3 linked regions of the Arabidopsis thaliana genome follow. The protein of the gene in region 2 purifies or fractionates together with the protein of the main gene of each other region. This does not show direct contact. Each region holds a gene or a part of one and is shown on either strand. Other genes may lie near its edges. The genes, in order: AT4G18060, AT1G44835 and AT5G08630.

What was found.
Region 1: the proteins of AT1G44835 (region 2) and AT4G18060 fractionate together in Arabidopsis thaliana (co-fractionation; one large-scale study listed by BioGRID). This does not show direct contact.
Region 3: the proteins of AT1G44835 (region 2) and AT5G08630 fractionate together in Arabidopsis thaliana (co-fractionation; one large-scale study listed by BioGRID). This does not show direct contact.

What each region holds. Positions count from the first base shown.
Region 1 is NC_003075.7:10,028,348-10,032,101, reverse strand, and holds the start of AT4G18060 (SH3 domain-containing protein), read left to right. Parts: upstream 1-2,068; 5' UTR 2,069-2,439; coding exon 2,440-2,499; intron 2,500-2,704; coding exon 2,705-2,827; intron 2,828-2,950; coding exon 2,951-3,020; intron 3,021-3,124; coding exon 3,125-3,279; intron 3,280-3,376; coding exon 3,377-3,478; intron 3,479-3,560; coding exon 3,561-3,754. Other genes in the region: AT4G18070 (suppressor), read right to left, coding at 1-533, 1,158-1,263. UniProt on the Arabidopsis thaliana protein: May be involved in the recruitment of DRP2A to the accessory protein complex and in the negative regulation of its GTPase activity.
Region 2 is NC_003070.9:16,938,243-16,941,996, forward strand, and holds the start of AT1G44835 (YbaK/aminoacyl-tRNA synthetase-associated domain-containing protein), read left to right. Parts: upstream 1-1,558; 5' UTR 1,559-1,666; coding exon 1,667-1,705; intron 1,706-2,052; coding exon 2,053-2,112; intron 2,113-2,210; coding exon 2,211-2,264; intron 2,265-2,359; coding exon 2,360-2,420; intron 2,421-2,549; coding exon 2,550-2,626; intron 2,627-2,915; coding exon 2,916-2,965; intron 2,966-3,068; coding exon 3,069-3,151; intron 3,152-3,251; coding exon 3,252-3,322; intron 3,323-3,409; coding exon 3,410-3,563; intron 3,564-3,659; coding exon 3,660-3,754.
Region 3 is NC_003076.8:2,801,127-2,804,880, reverse strand, and holds the start of AT5G08630 (DDT domain-containing protein), read left to right. Parts: upstream 1-1,709; 5' UTR 1,710-1,894; exon of another isoform or gene 1,895-2,203; intron 2,204-2,721; 5' UTR 2,722-2,742; coding exon 2,743-2,855; intron 2,856-3,084; coding exon 3,085-3,257; intron 3,258-3,492; coding exon 3,493-3,754. Other genes in the region: FLS1 (flavonol synthase 1), read right to left, coding at 7-334, 406-872.

The sequences.
Region 1 (3,754 bases), on a different chromosome or scaffold from region 2:
GTTGGATTCTGGAAGAGGCGAAGTTTTTCCCTCATTTTCTTTCACATCAGAGTCAGTAGCACCTGAAGACGTCTGCCTAATCTCATCAAATGCAAGAGCAACTTCAGCAGCAATCTCAGTTGCTTTAGGCAAAGAATTATCATCAGCCTCGTTTGAGACTATTGTATCAACATGCGAGATCTCAACCAGTTCTCCAGATTCGGGATCATTCGGCACAGCTGAATCCATCAAACCAGTATTCTCTACAATCGCATTAGCAGTAAATCCCATAAACGGAGCATCTGCAGCAATAGGCACAGGTTGAATTGGCACAGAACTCACAGTAATAACTTCAGAAACATCATCACCAGTCTTCTTATCATCATCTATCTTCTTGACTTCCCGTGACTCATCATCCGAGCTGGAGCTGCTGCTGCTGCTGCTACTACTACTGCTGCTACTAGAGCTCTTGTCATGATCATGGCTTGAATCAGTGATCTCTATGCGTTCATTAACACCATCATCGCTCTCCTTGTCACCTTGGCTTCTCGAATCTAGCACATCAGTTTACAAATCCAATCAATATCACAAACAGAGTGACTTAACACTGACTATTCAAGTCAAATCTAACTATTGTACCATCCAGAGAATGAAACATATACTAGTAAACAAAATAGGCACAGCTACTACTAATGAAACCAAAGCATCAGAGATAAACAAAACTCAGCAAATGATAAACAACTTCAATCATAATCATGAATCTGATAAACAAAACTATCCTTTAGTCCAAAACAGAAAACTAGATTCAACCCATATGGATTACGAAGCAGAACATGCTAAAATTAACCGAAAGATCAAATTTTTACAGCTTGAGATCCCAAAATTGTGAGCCTAAAACCCCAATCAAAACACAAAGAAGAGTAAAAAAGATACCCATTTGTTTAGATCAATGAGCACAAAACCATAAAAATCAAAACTTGAAGAAACTATACAGAGAACAAAGTTAAAAAAAAACTCAGATTTAAAGCGAAGCAAATATATAAACAAACAAGAAAGGTGGCCTAAACGTGTGTGGTGTGAGTGAATAATTGAGAGATACAGAGAGACAACAACAAGAAGAAAAAGGCAAAAAGAAGAAAGTAGTAGTGAGATTATGGGGTGTTAAAAGAATTAAAAACCATGGTTGTTGGATTTGAGGTTGATTAGAGTAGAAGATCCTTGTTGTTGTTGTTCTTCCTCTTGCTTTTTCTTGGCAGCTTTCCTTTTCTTAGCACCTGAAGGCATGATTTAGGCTAGGCTCCTTTGGTGGGGATCGATCTCAAAAACAGCTATGGCGGATCGTGGCTTTTGTCTCTTTGATTTCTCTCTGTTAAAATATAATGGCGTCTTCTTTTCTGTCGAGCCGTAAATGTTTCAAAACTCAAATTGGTGGAAGTGGGAAAGTTTTAGATTCTTCTTATACATACATGTGAAAGGGTTTCTGAGTTTTATTGCTTTTTTTTAACTGTAAAATCACTAATTGATCTTCTTGTAATTTTGTTTCCGCGTTTGTTTCGTTTATTTTCCGCGTTTGGTTTACTAATTTAGCTATTAACGAAATAGTATAATGGATAGAGATTATTTTTGTAAAGTTTGTTCAAACAAAATCATCTTTACAACTTGATTGTGTTATAGATAAATTAAAACAAAAAAATGTTGTCATTCAGTACTTTAGATACCAATATACATTTGTCTTTTGGTTGACTATAATTTGATTTAAGTTTACATCAACAATAGAACCCTGTTTTAAGAACATGGAATTTAATGAAATATCTCACTGAAATTTTAAGTCGGTAGAGTAGGAATCTATACTATACTGAGAAAGGCAACGTTAATAATAAAATAAAAGAAAAAGTATATAGGTTGTCTTTTCAGATTATAATTATGTAATGGCAGTTAGGACAAAATGATATGGGAGGAGTGGGGACAAATAACAAGTGGTTATGAGTTGTCCATGTCAGTTTTTTTGTTAATACCTATACTTTTAAGTTTTAATTAACTTAATCTCAGTTTATGCCAAACGGATTTAGCTAATTTTAATTAATTACTCAATAATAATCGTAAGTCGTAACGTAAGGTTTTTAGTAGAAAAGCCTCGTCTGCTTCCAAATAATTCAATCGCGAACGCTCCTTTTAATCAGACCGGACCGGACCGGTTTGGTTCAATCAATCGAATCGACCCGACCCGCTTAGATCGATGTGTGTGCTCTGTGATTGACTGATTTTCTCAGAGGGATAATCAGTGACACATCGAGTCGAAGAAGAACATACATTTCTACTGAATCAGATCTGATCTGCTTTGTCAGTTTTTAAACTGTTCTGATCTAATTGAGATTTCTCAATTCCACTCAAAATCCTTTAAAGCTTGTCTCTTTTTGGTATCTCTGAATCAATTTGGGGAAATCAAGAGGAGAAGTGACAATGGATGCGTTTAGAAGACAAGCGAGTAAGCTTAGAGACCAAGTCGCAAAGCAGCAACTGGTAATTCCTTTTCATCGCCGCAACTAGTTTCACTGTTACCGATTCAGCGAAACGAAGCTCAATTTAGGTTCTTTGTTGCTAATTTGGATTAAAAAAAATGGAAACTTTTTGATGGGTTTTGATTTGTATATTATTGAGTATTATAGAGTTACACAATCTTGGTTGTGATGATGTGTTGATTGATGTGTGGTAATGGGGAATGTAGGCTGTGATAAAGCAATTCAGTGGGACTGGTTATGAAAGCTCAGATGTAATGGTGATTGATGAGCTTGAAATGCAAAGGCATCATCAACTCGATAAACTTTACCGCTCTACTCGTTCTGCAAAGGTTTGACTGATATTGACCTAATGGCATTGTCACATTTTATATGAGTTCATTGTTGGGGGAGAAGGTTTCAGTATGATTCATCGTAGCACAATACCCTCAAACATATGTTATTGTCACTTTCAGGAGTTCCAGAGAGATATTGTTAAAGCAGCTGAGGCATTTACCACGATCGGGCTCAGACACATTGAAGCAGGTACTTAACTACTTATGAGTGTCTGTTTTGTGTTACCTATCATTGAATTAAGTTATACTATGATACTTTTGTGAGTTTTCTTTTAATATTCTTTAAAATTTCAGGAACCAAGTTGTCTGAAGACTGTTGTAGGTATGGGAACGAAAATAGTCAGAACATTGATGAGAATATACTGGCCAAGGCTGCAGCTATATACGGTGATGCACGGAAACATGTAGACAAAGAACAAGAAGACTTCAACAAGCTTTTGGCTTCTCAGGTTCGGCTTGGATTATCTGTGTTTAATCTTAGTATGTTTACGTAGAATTAAATCTAGTAGATAACAAGAGAAAACCTTTTTGTTAAATGCCGTTAAGGTTTTGGATCCTCTAAGAGCTATGGTTGCCGGTTCTCCTCTTGAAGATGCTCGTCATCTTGCTCAACGTTACAGCCGCATGAGACAAGAAGCAGAGACACATGTAATCATCTTAAGATCTTAGTTCTATGATGATGTTGGCTATTTTATTTTGTAATGTAAGTTAAAACTTAAAAGCAAAACAGGCAACGGAAGTCTCTAGACGGCAAGCACGTGTAAGAGAAGCTCCGATTCCAGAAAACGTAGCAAAGCTTCAACTAGCGGAAGCAAAAATGCAAGAGCTAAAAGCAAATATGGCAGTCCTTGGTAAAGAAGCAACTGCTGCATTAGCCGCTGTTGAATCACAGCAACATAGACTCACTTTCCAGAGGCTTGTGGC
Region 2 (3,754 bases):
GTTTTATAAACTTAACAAGAAGCAAACAAGTACTAAATTTAAAATAAACAACATAAAAAACTAAAACAAATATTCTAATGGTGTTAACCGTGTTATTTATAATAAATATTCTAATGGTGTTAATTAAAATAAAATTTGTAATGTTTTATTATTTTTATATGATGTAATGATTTTTAATAAATAATAAGTGTTTAATTTAAATAATTTCATATTTTATACGAATTTTGCAAATCTATAATATATGGGGTCAAATTTTAAATTATATAATTAAAAAGTATTAGTATATAAAATAGAAATAGAATATTTCTAAGAATATTCTTTTTTAGAGTAGAAAATAGAGATATACATTGGAGAAAAACTCATCTCTAAAATTGAGTTACTCTATTTTAGAACAAGATATAGAGCTATACATTGGAGATGGTCTTAATACATAGTCAAAATTGATTACTTATTTGATGAAAAAATATGGATTTCTTATTTTATTTTCTCATACCAGTGATTGTTTTGTTGTATTGGGGCTGAAAAGTGTTCTTTCAGCACATCAGAGAAAAAAGTTAAGAATAGTGTGTTAAGCAGTAACCATACTCTTTAAAGCCGTAGATTAATTATTCAAGAAATTAAAACAACTAATTAAACAAAAATCCTAGCAAAATCTATTTGAATGAACCATATCCAAATCCACAAAGTCAGTCCCCCAAATGTTGAAACACGTAAATTAAACACACAACAACAAAAATATAATTAATTAAACATAACTAATGATTTTTATAATTTACACAAAAATCAATCAATATTTTTTTAACTATTTTATATTCATTTCTAACTACTTTTATATTTATATGTTATTAGAAAATATTAATATATATATATTTTTTATCAACCACACATATATTAAAATATAACTCTATGATCGGCTGCCCAATTTAGAGGAGAAGAGTTTACAAAAATAACATCAGACAACAATAAACGAGAAAAACAGGTTAAACAATATGCTTTAGAATTACATAAACGGTAAAAATAAGAAATCGAACCAAGCGTCGTTAGCTCAATTGGTAAAGACCCTAGACGAACCTTAGAGGTCGCCGATTCGAGTGACGTTTGGGACGAAACTAATATTACATGCTGTGGTTTCGGGTCTGAGAGATTACGGGATTCGGTCCAGAACCTCCTAATATTTATAAAAAAAAAAATTTTTAAAATAAGAAATTAAAGCTCGGAACATTCAAACTCGTCTAATAGGTTGGAGAAAGCTGGTCAATCATCAGGCGAATACGCCACCGAGACTAAACTCTACACAATCAGTTTCAAATATCTACAATCAATCCTTCTTGTAAAGATATTTTTCGTAGCCCAAATTTATGATGACTTTTTTTTATTTGTGGTGCACCATTTATGACAACTTAAAACAGTTTAATTTTAAATTAAAAATTTGTATTTTCTTATGACCTGTGGTTATATGTTGGGCCTTTTAGGCATTTGCAAGTTAAGTATGGTCGTGGATTGAAAAGCCCAATGTGTAATCCTCTAGTTTACTAAGAAGGTTTAATGTTTTTCAATCCAGTACTGCAAAATCTGCAAAACCTAAACTTTCGTCTTCTCAACAAAATCTGCAGTTCCTTGCTCCTTTCTCAGTCCAAATTCTCTGATTTTTGATTTTTTCGATTCAATGGGTTTCACCAAAGATCAGTTGCTTGATCGACTTCAGGTTTCCATTTTCACCTTTAAACTCAATTACATCATTTTCATTTCGCATTGCTTTTGTTGGAATTTGTCAGATAAGATTAGATAAATCATTAGCAGAGAACGGAAAATGTTACTTCGTTTTATGCTTGATTCTATTTGAAGAAGTTATGTGTATTAATGGATTTGGATGTGTATCTATGGATTCCAAGTTATGTGTATAGTCGTCTTGAACTCAGAAGTTTTTCAATGTCTACTTTTAGATTCTAACCCTTAGGTCAAGAATTTTGGTGTTACACGTTTTGTTAGTGTCAATGTTAAAAAAATGTGGCAATGTGAATTGATGATTAAGGATTTGTATCTATCTTTCAGGAACTTGAGATTGATTATTCCAAGTATGAACATCCGCCTGTACTAACCGTCGAAGAACAGGTGAATATACCTTAAAATGTTTTAGATTTTTAAAACTTAAGTGTATGATGTTTAAAGATGGATTTATAAGGCTTTGTTTTGTGTATTTAAATCTTCAGGCCAAGTATGTTAGCAGTAGTAAGGGTGCACTGAGTAAGAATCTCTTCTTGAAGGTAGTCTTTCAAAGCGGTACACCATTAAAGGCATTATCAAGTTAGAGTATTAGTTGATTGTTAATGGTGCATATGCCTCTATTTTGTTTTTGCAGGACAAGAAACATCGGTATTATATTGTTTCAGCGATGGTGGATACGAAAGTTGACATGAAAGGTAACATATGTTTTCTCCTTTTTTCGTTTGTGGATATTGGCATAGAAGAAGTCTCTGGGCTTTGTGAAGTTTGAATGTTTTTTTTTTTGGATGTTAATGTGTGTTCCCTGTGACTTCTAATTTAAACAGTTTTATCTCAGAGACTTGGTCTTGGAAAAGGAGGGATTAGAATGGCTCCAGAAGAAGCACTTGGTGAGCTTTTGCAGGTATTTTTCATAGTCTTTTCCTCTGCTACTGTGTTTTGTTATATATATCTGGAAAGAGTTTTATTAAATGATTGTGCTGTAACATGGGAACCATGGTAGCGATAGTTTTTTTGACAATTGATAAGAAAAGTTTCTCCAAACCAAATTGCTTTAAATGATCTATTTATGCATGGTGATATGTTTGTTTTGCTTATCGCAGTTTACAACAAATCCACACGAATATATTGAACTTATTGTCATTCATGTTTACAATTTTTGACACTCGTGCTACTCTCTTTTTTCGTTAAAGGTATCCCTCGGATGTGTTACCCCGTTTGCAGTTGTAAATGAATCAGCAAGGTATTGTTTGCCTTACGGTATTGGTTCATATGGTGTTTTCCCTTCCAAGTTCCTAATTATTTCCATTGACTGACATTCTTTATTAAAACTTTCCATGTTAAAGAGACGTGTCTCTCTTGTTAGACCAAAAATTCAAGAACCAAACGCGTTGCATCTTCCACCCATTGTCTAACGATGTCTCAGTCTGTAAGTTCTTTCATTACAGACTTTTCTTTTATGGTTCAAAATAGTTCATAACATCAGATTTTAGCTTATATCTAATTTGGTTGGTTCCTATCATTTCCAGCTCTGAACACATTGGGTCTGGACAAGTTTCTGAAGTCGATTGGGAGAGATCCCGTATACGTTGACCTTGAGGCAAATACTCTAAACCTTTAACTTGAGAACTCATGTTCCACAGTTCCTTTCCTCAGGGTTAACCTTTTGAACCTTTTGCTGTTTCAGGCTAACCCGGTAGTTGGTAAAGACCAGGCTCCAGATCTAGCTGTTTGTGTTCCGTCTAATTCAGTTATTGTTCCCGAGATTCCTAATCAAACATCTTCTACACAAATTCCTCTTCCAAAAAGTGTGTCAGCAGAGGTCAAGCCTGTGGCTTCAGGTATGCCTGATTTATCAGTTTCTTAACCATGCGCTCCAAGTCTTGTTAAACCGTGAAGGATTGGTTTATATAACTCGGTTTTCTTCAACGGTGCAGCCAAAACGAGCAAGCCAGCTTGTAAGGTGAAGAGCGTCGCTGAAAATTCAGCTCCATCAGCTTACAAGAACCCGGAGAAATTTGTGCAGGAGATT
Region 3 (3,754 bases), on a different chromosome or scaffold from region 2:
TCAGACCAGAATCTGATCGCCGATGTGAACAATGACGGCGGAGGGAATATACTCTGCATCGAACCAGTGATCATCTTTGAAAACTTGAAGTCCAGGAACTTCGTTAGGAACAAGAAGAGTGATTCCACTGAGATCTGTATGAGCCGGTACACCTAAAGCTAAATCCGGCCGAGGACACGGCGGATAATAGTTAATCTTCATCATATACTCCGCCATCTCTCCGCCGAGACCTTCTTTCAACGCATCACGCTTTAACCCTAATCCATCCGAGAGAATCCCTAATAACGTCTCCGATAGCTTCTTCACATGCACTGCATACTCTTCATTCACCTCCCTAATACATTAAACCAACGGTTAACTTCGGTTTACAAAATTTGAATTTTTGATGATTCTGTTTTGGTTTACCTGTATTCAGGTGGATTCTTAGGCCAGAATCTGTAATTGACGCATGACGGTGGCCAGATTCGATGGAAGAGATGATCGACCCAAGCTTTTTTACCTTCTGGATCTTTCTGAAGCTTTGTTCCGTATCCTTCAATGTCTTTCGAATCTTCCGGTTTAGCGACGGATTCTTTCTCCGACGAAGGAAGCTCGAAGAATTTTCTTCCGACGTCTTGTAAACGTCGTATCAGCTCCGTCGGAATCCCGTGGTTAACCACTTGGAATAGCCCCCATTCTTCACTCGCTTTCACCACCGCGCGCCTCACGCTTTCTTCGTCGGGATCGCTTAGATCGACGACGGGAATCGCCGGCGTTGGACCTCGGAATGTTGTGATCGCTGGTTGTTCTTTCTCTGATCTGATGAACTCCAACGGGATTGCTTCTGTTAGTAGAGAAGAAGATGAAATGTCTTGGACTCTTTCGACCTCCATTATTTTTTTTGGTAGTTTGCGTTGCCGGAAACAATGGCGGATATGTAATTTGGGGGATGGTGTTACGAGTGGTTTTAAGGAGGGAGGAAGTGAGGACGTGGCGAAATCTTGGCCGCTGGATAGAGACAACTACCACATAAAGTACGTGTTGATATGTGTAAGTCGTCGAGGCTTCGTCACTCACGAGTTTGGTACCAAGTTTTGATAGATTTATGGATGAAGAATTTAATTAATTTGATTTGTTGTTTTGTGGTGGTAGTTTTAAGAAAAGGAAAAAAGTGATGTTATTATATTTTAGGCCATAAAATACCATATTTGAAATAGATATTTTAGTACATATTTTTGGCGGGTGTTCATGTAAACACAAATAAATATCATCTTGAGTCGTTGACAAAAACAAAAACAAAAACAACAAACTTTGGTTGGCCATTCTAATTACTGTAAAGATTTTCTTCTGCATTTCGATTGGTCCATGAATTTTACACAGGAAACATTATTTAATGACTTGGTTTCTAGAGTGGGTTATTTGAAGTTTTCTTTTTTTGGTCAAACATCATTTGGAATTTAATCAAATAATAATGGTGGAGAGTTAAGGCTTTACCATTTTAAATCGTAAGCAATGAATAAAATACTGGTTTCAAATCCAACCCCATTTAAAGCTAAAGATTCAAGGCCCATATAACAAGACAAGGCCCAGTTATTGGGCTACTATAGAAAAAGGAAAAACTACAGTATAGGGCTCTAAAACAGCAACACCTGTATAAACAAAAAAAGGAAACCGAGTGCTACTTAAGATATAAAATAACAAAAAAAAGGTGAGAGGCTAATTCGCATATTAAGTTTTTTTTCCCGTCTTTCCCATAAGGAAGGACGACGACCAAAAAGAGCTGAGAGCGAGAGAGAGAGAGAGAGAGCGAAGAGAAAAACGAAGAGAGACGGTGAGATCTCAACACTTGTATTCTTTCCTTGAGAGACCACCTCTCTCTCTCGACGACGCGCATTCCCAATTTCATACATTCTCCGTAAGATTTTTGATTGAGTCTCTCTAATTTCGTTGTTTATAATTCTCTCCAATCGTTTTCTTTGTTGTGGCGGGAACATCGATCCTCTTTTCTTCTGCGATTTTGCTTTCTTCGTTGTGATTTCGTTGCATTAGCTTCGAATTTTCGTTCCGTTTTGTTTGTTATTGATGATTGTGTTCGTCTCTTCTTTGTTACATGTGTTGTTATGCTTTTTTGACTGCTTTTTGTGTGTTTTACTTGTCCGTTTCGCCTTCTGGATTCTCCGAAAGTGGCGCATGATAGTGCTTTCTTTTTCTCGATCTCTCTTGGGTATGTGTTTTGATTCCTCGGTTTCGTTTTGGTTCCTTTGCTCTCAAGTGTCAATTTTGTCCCATGGTTTCAGATCTTTTCTAATTTCGATTGGGATTGCGATTTTTCTAGGGTTTAGTGCTATCTCGGTTTCTTCTGCATTGCTTTTCTTAACATTTTTCATTGGCTTTTCTTTTTTGCACATGATCTCACAAGTACCACTTGCTTTTCCATAGGCTCTGTCGAATTCAGTAGAAATTAGAATCAGCTCTAGGCTTGCATGCAATCATTTGCATTCTGTGCCACAAATTTGTACGTTTGCTAAGTTTTACTTGACCGTTGTGTCACCTTAAACGCCTTATGGGTTGATTTTCTGTTCTCCATGGTTTACATTTTCCGCTTTGGAACAACTGTGACGTCTTGCTTTTGTATACAATTCCCTTCTTGCTTGGATGACCTGGTTCTACATTTACTAGGATTTCACATTAGTGAATATGAGAATCACTTATATAGACCATTCATTTTTGTCTACACTGCAGGTTGGTTTTGCCATTTGAAGGATGCCTCTACTAAAAAAGAAGTCACATAAACTACTGGAGCCCCCAAAGAACTTGGAGCCTCAAGAACTTGTCTATCAAGTTCGTCTAACAAATGAGATCTTTCGAGATTATCAGTATCCTTATTCTGTAACTGTTACAATTTTAAGACTTATGTTTTGAATATTTGCCTTCTCCTTCTGTGTGCAGTTAGAGGAAAGAGAAATAAGCTTAAAACTTGTAATTCTGTTTGCCTGTTTCATTCTGGGACAACCTTTATTCATATTATTCTTCAAAGGCTTGGTTGTTCATGTTTATCAGTGCACATGCCGTGTCAGAACTATTTGTTTGCTTAACATAAAATAGATTGTACTTGAAGAGGTTAAATCTGTATCGCAACCGAGTTTGGACTTGTAAGTCTACTGGTAAAACTAGCTTGAGCTACGAGGAGGCCTTAGATTCAGAAAAACTGGCAGGCAAGAAGGTTCAAACTCTGCCCAGAGAGCTAGTTGCACCTGCTTTACGCATCATCCAATTCAGTAAGTTTTTAACTCCTTCATTGATTATTTTTATGTGATATAAGTGTGTCGAAGTCTTGATTTGCAGAGTGTCCAAGTCTTGATTTTACCTTTCTCGGTTTCTCTCTATAAGTTTTGCAAATCAGGACTACCTTTTTACCGTTTTGAATTTGTTTGTGTAAGATAATTTTCTTAATACTTGAAATCTCTGGTTTATGAGCATTATTTCTGACTCTTTTTCCTCCATTTTGAAAAGGTACGCTTTCATTGAAAGATCTTGCTGACAAAATAGCGACAGAGTTGCAAGATTGCTTTTTCCCTGGCGCAGAGTTGTATGGGGAAAGGGATGGGGAACTGCATCCTTGCAAAATCTTGAGGATAGTATCAGATGGGGATAGTAAACCTCAGTATGAGGTAGGCTTCCTTGACAAAAACAAGGAAGTAGATGATAACACAGTGCTCTTTGGGGAGGATCTGTCATGGAAGAAGTTTCCATTTAGTAGAAATTTTCTGAAGTC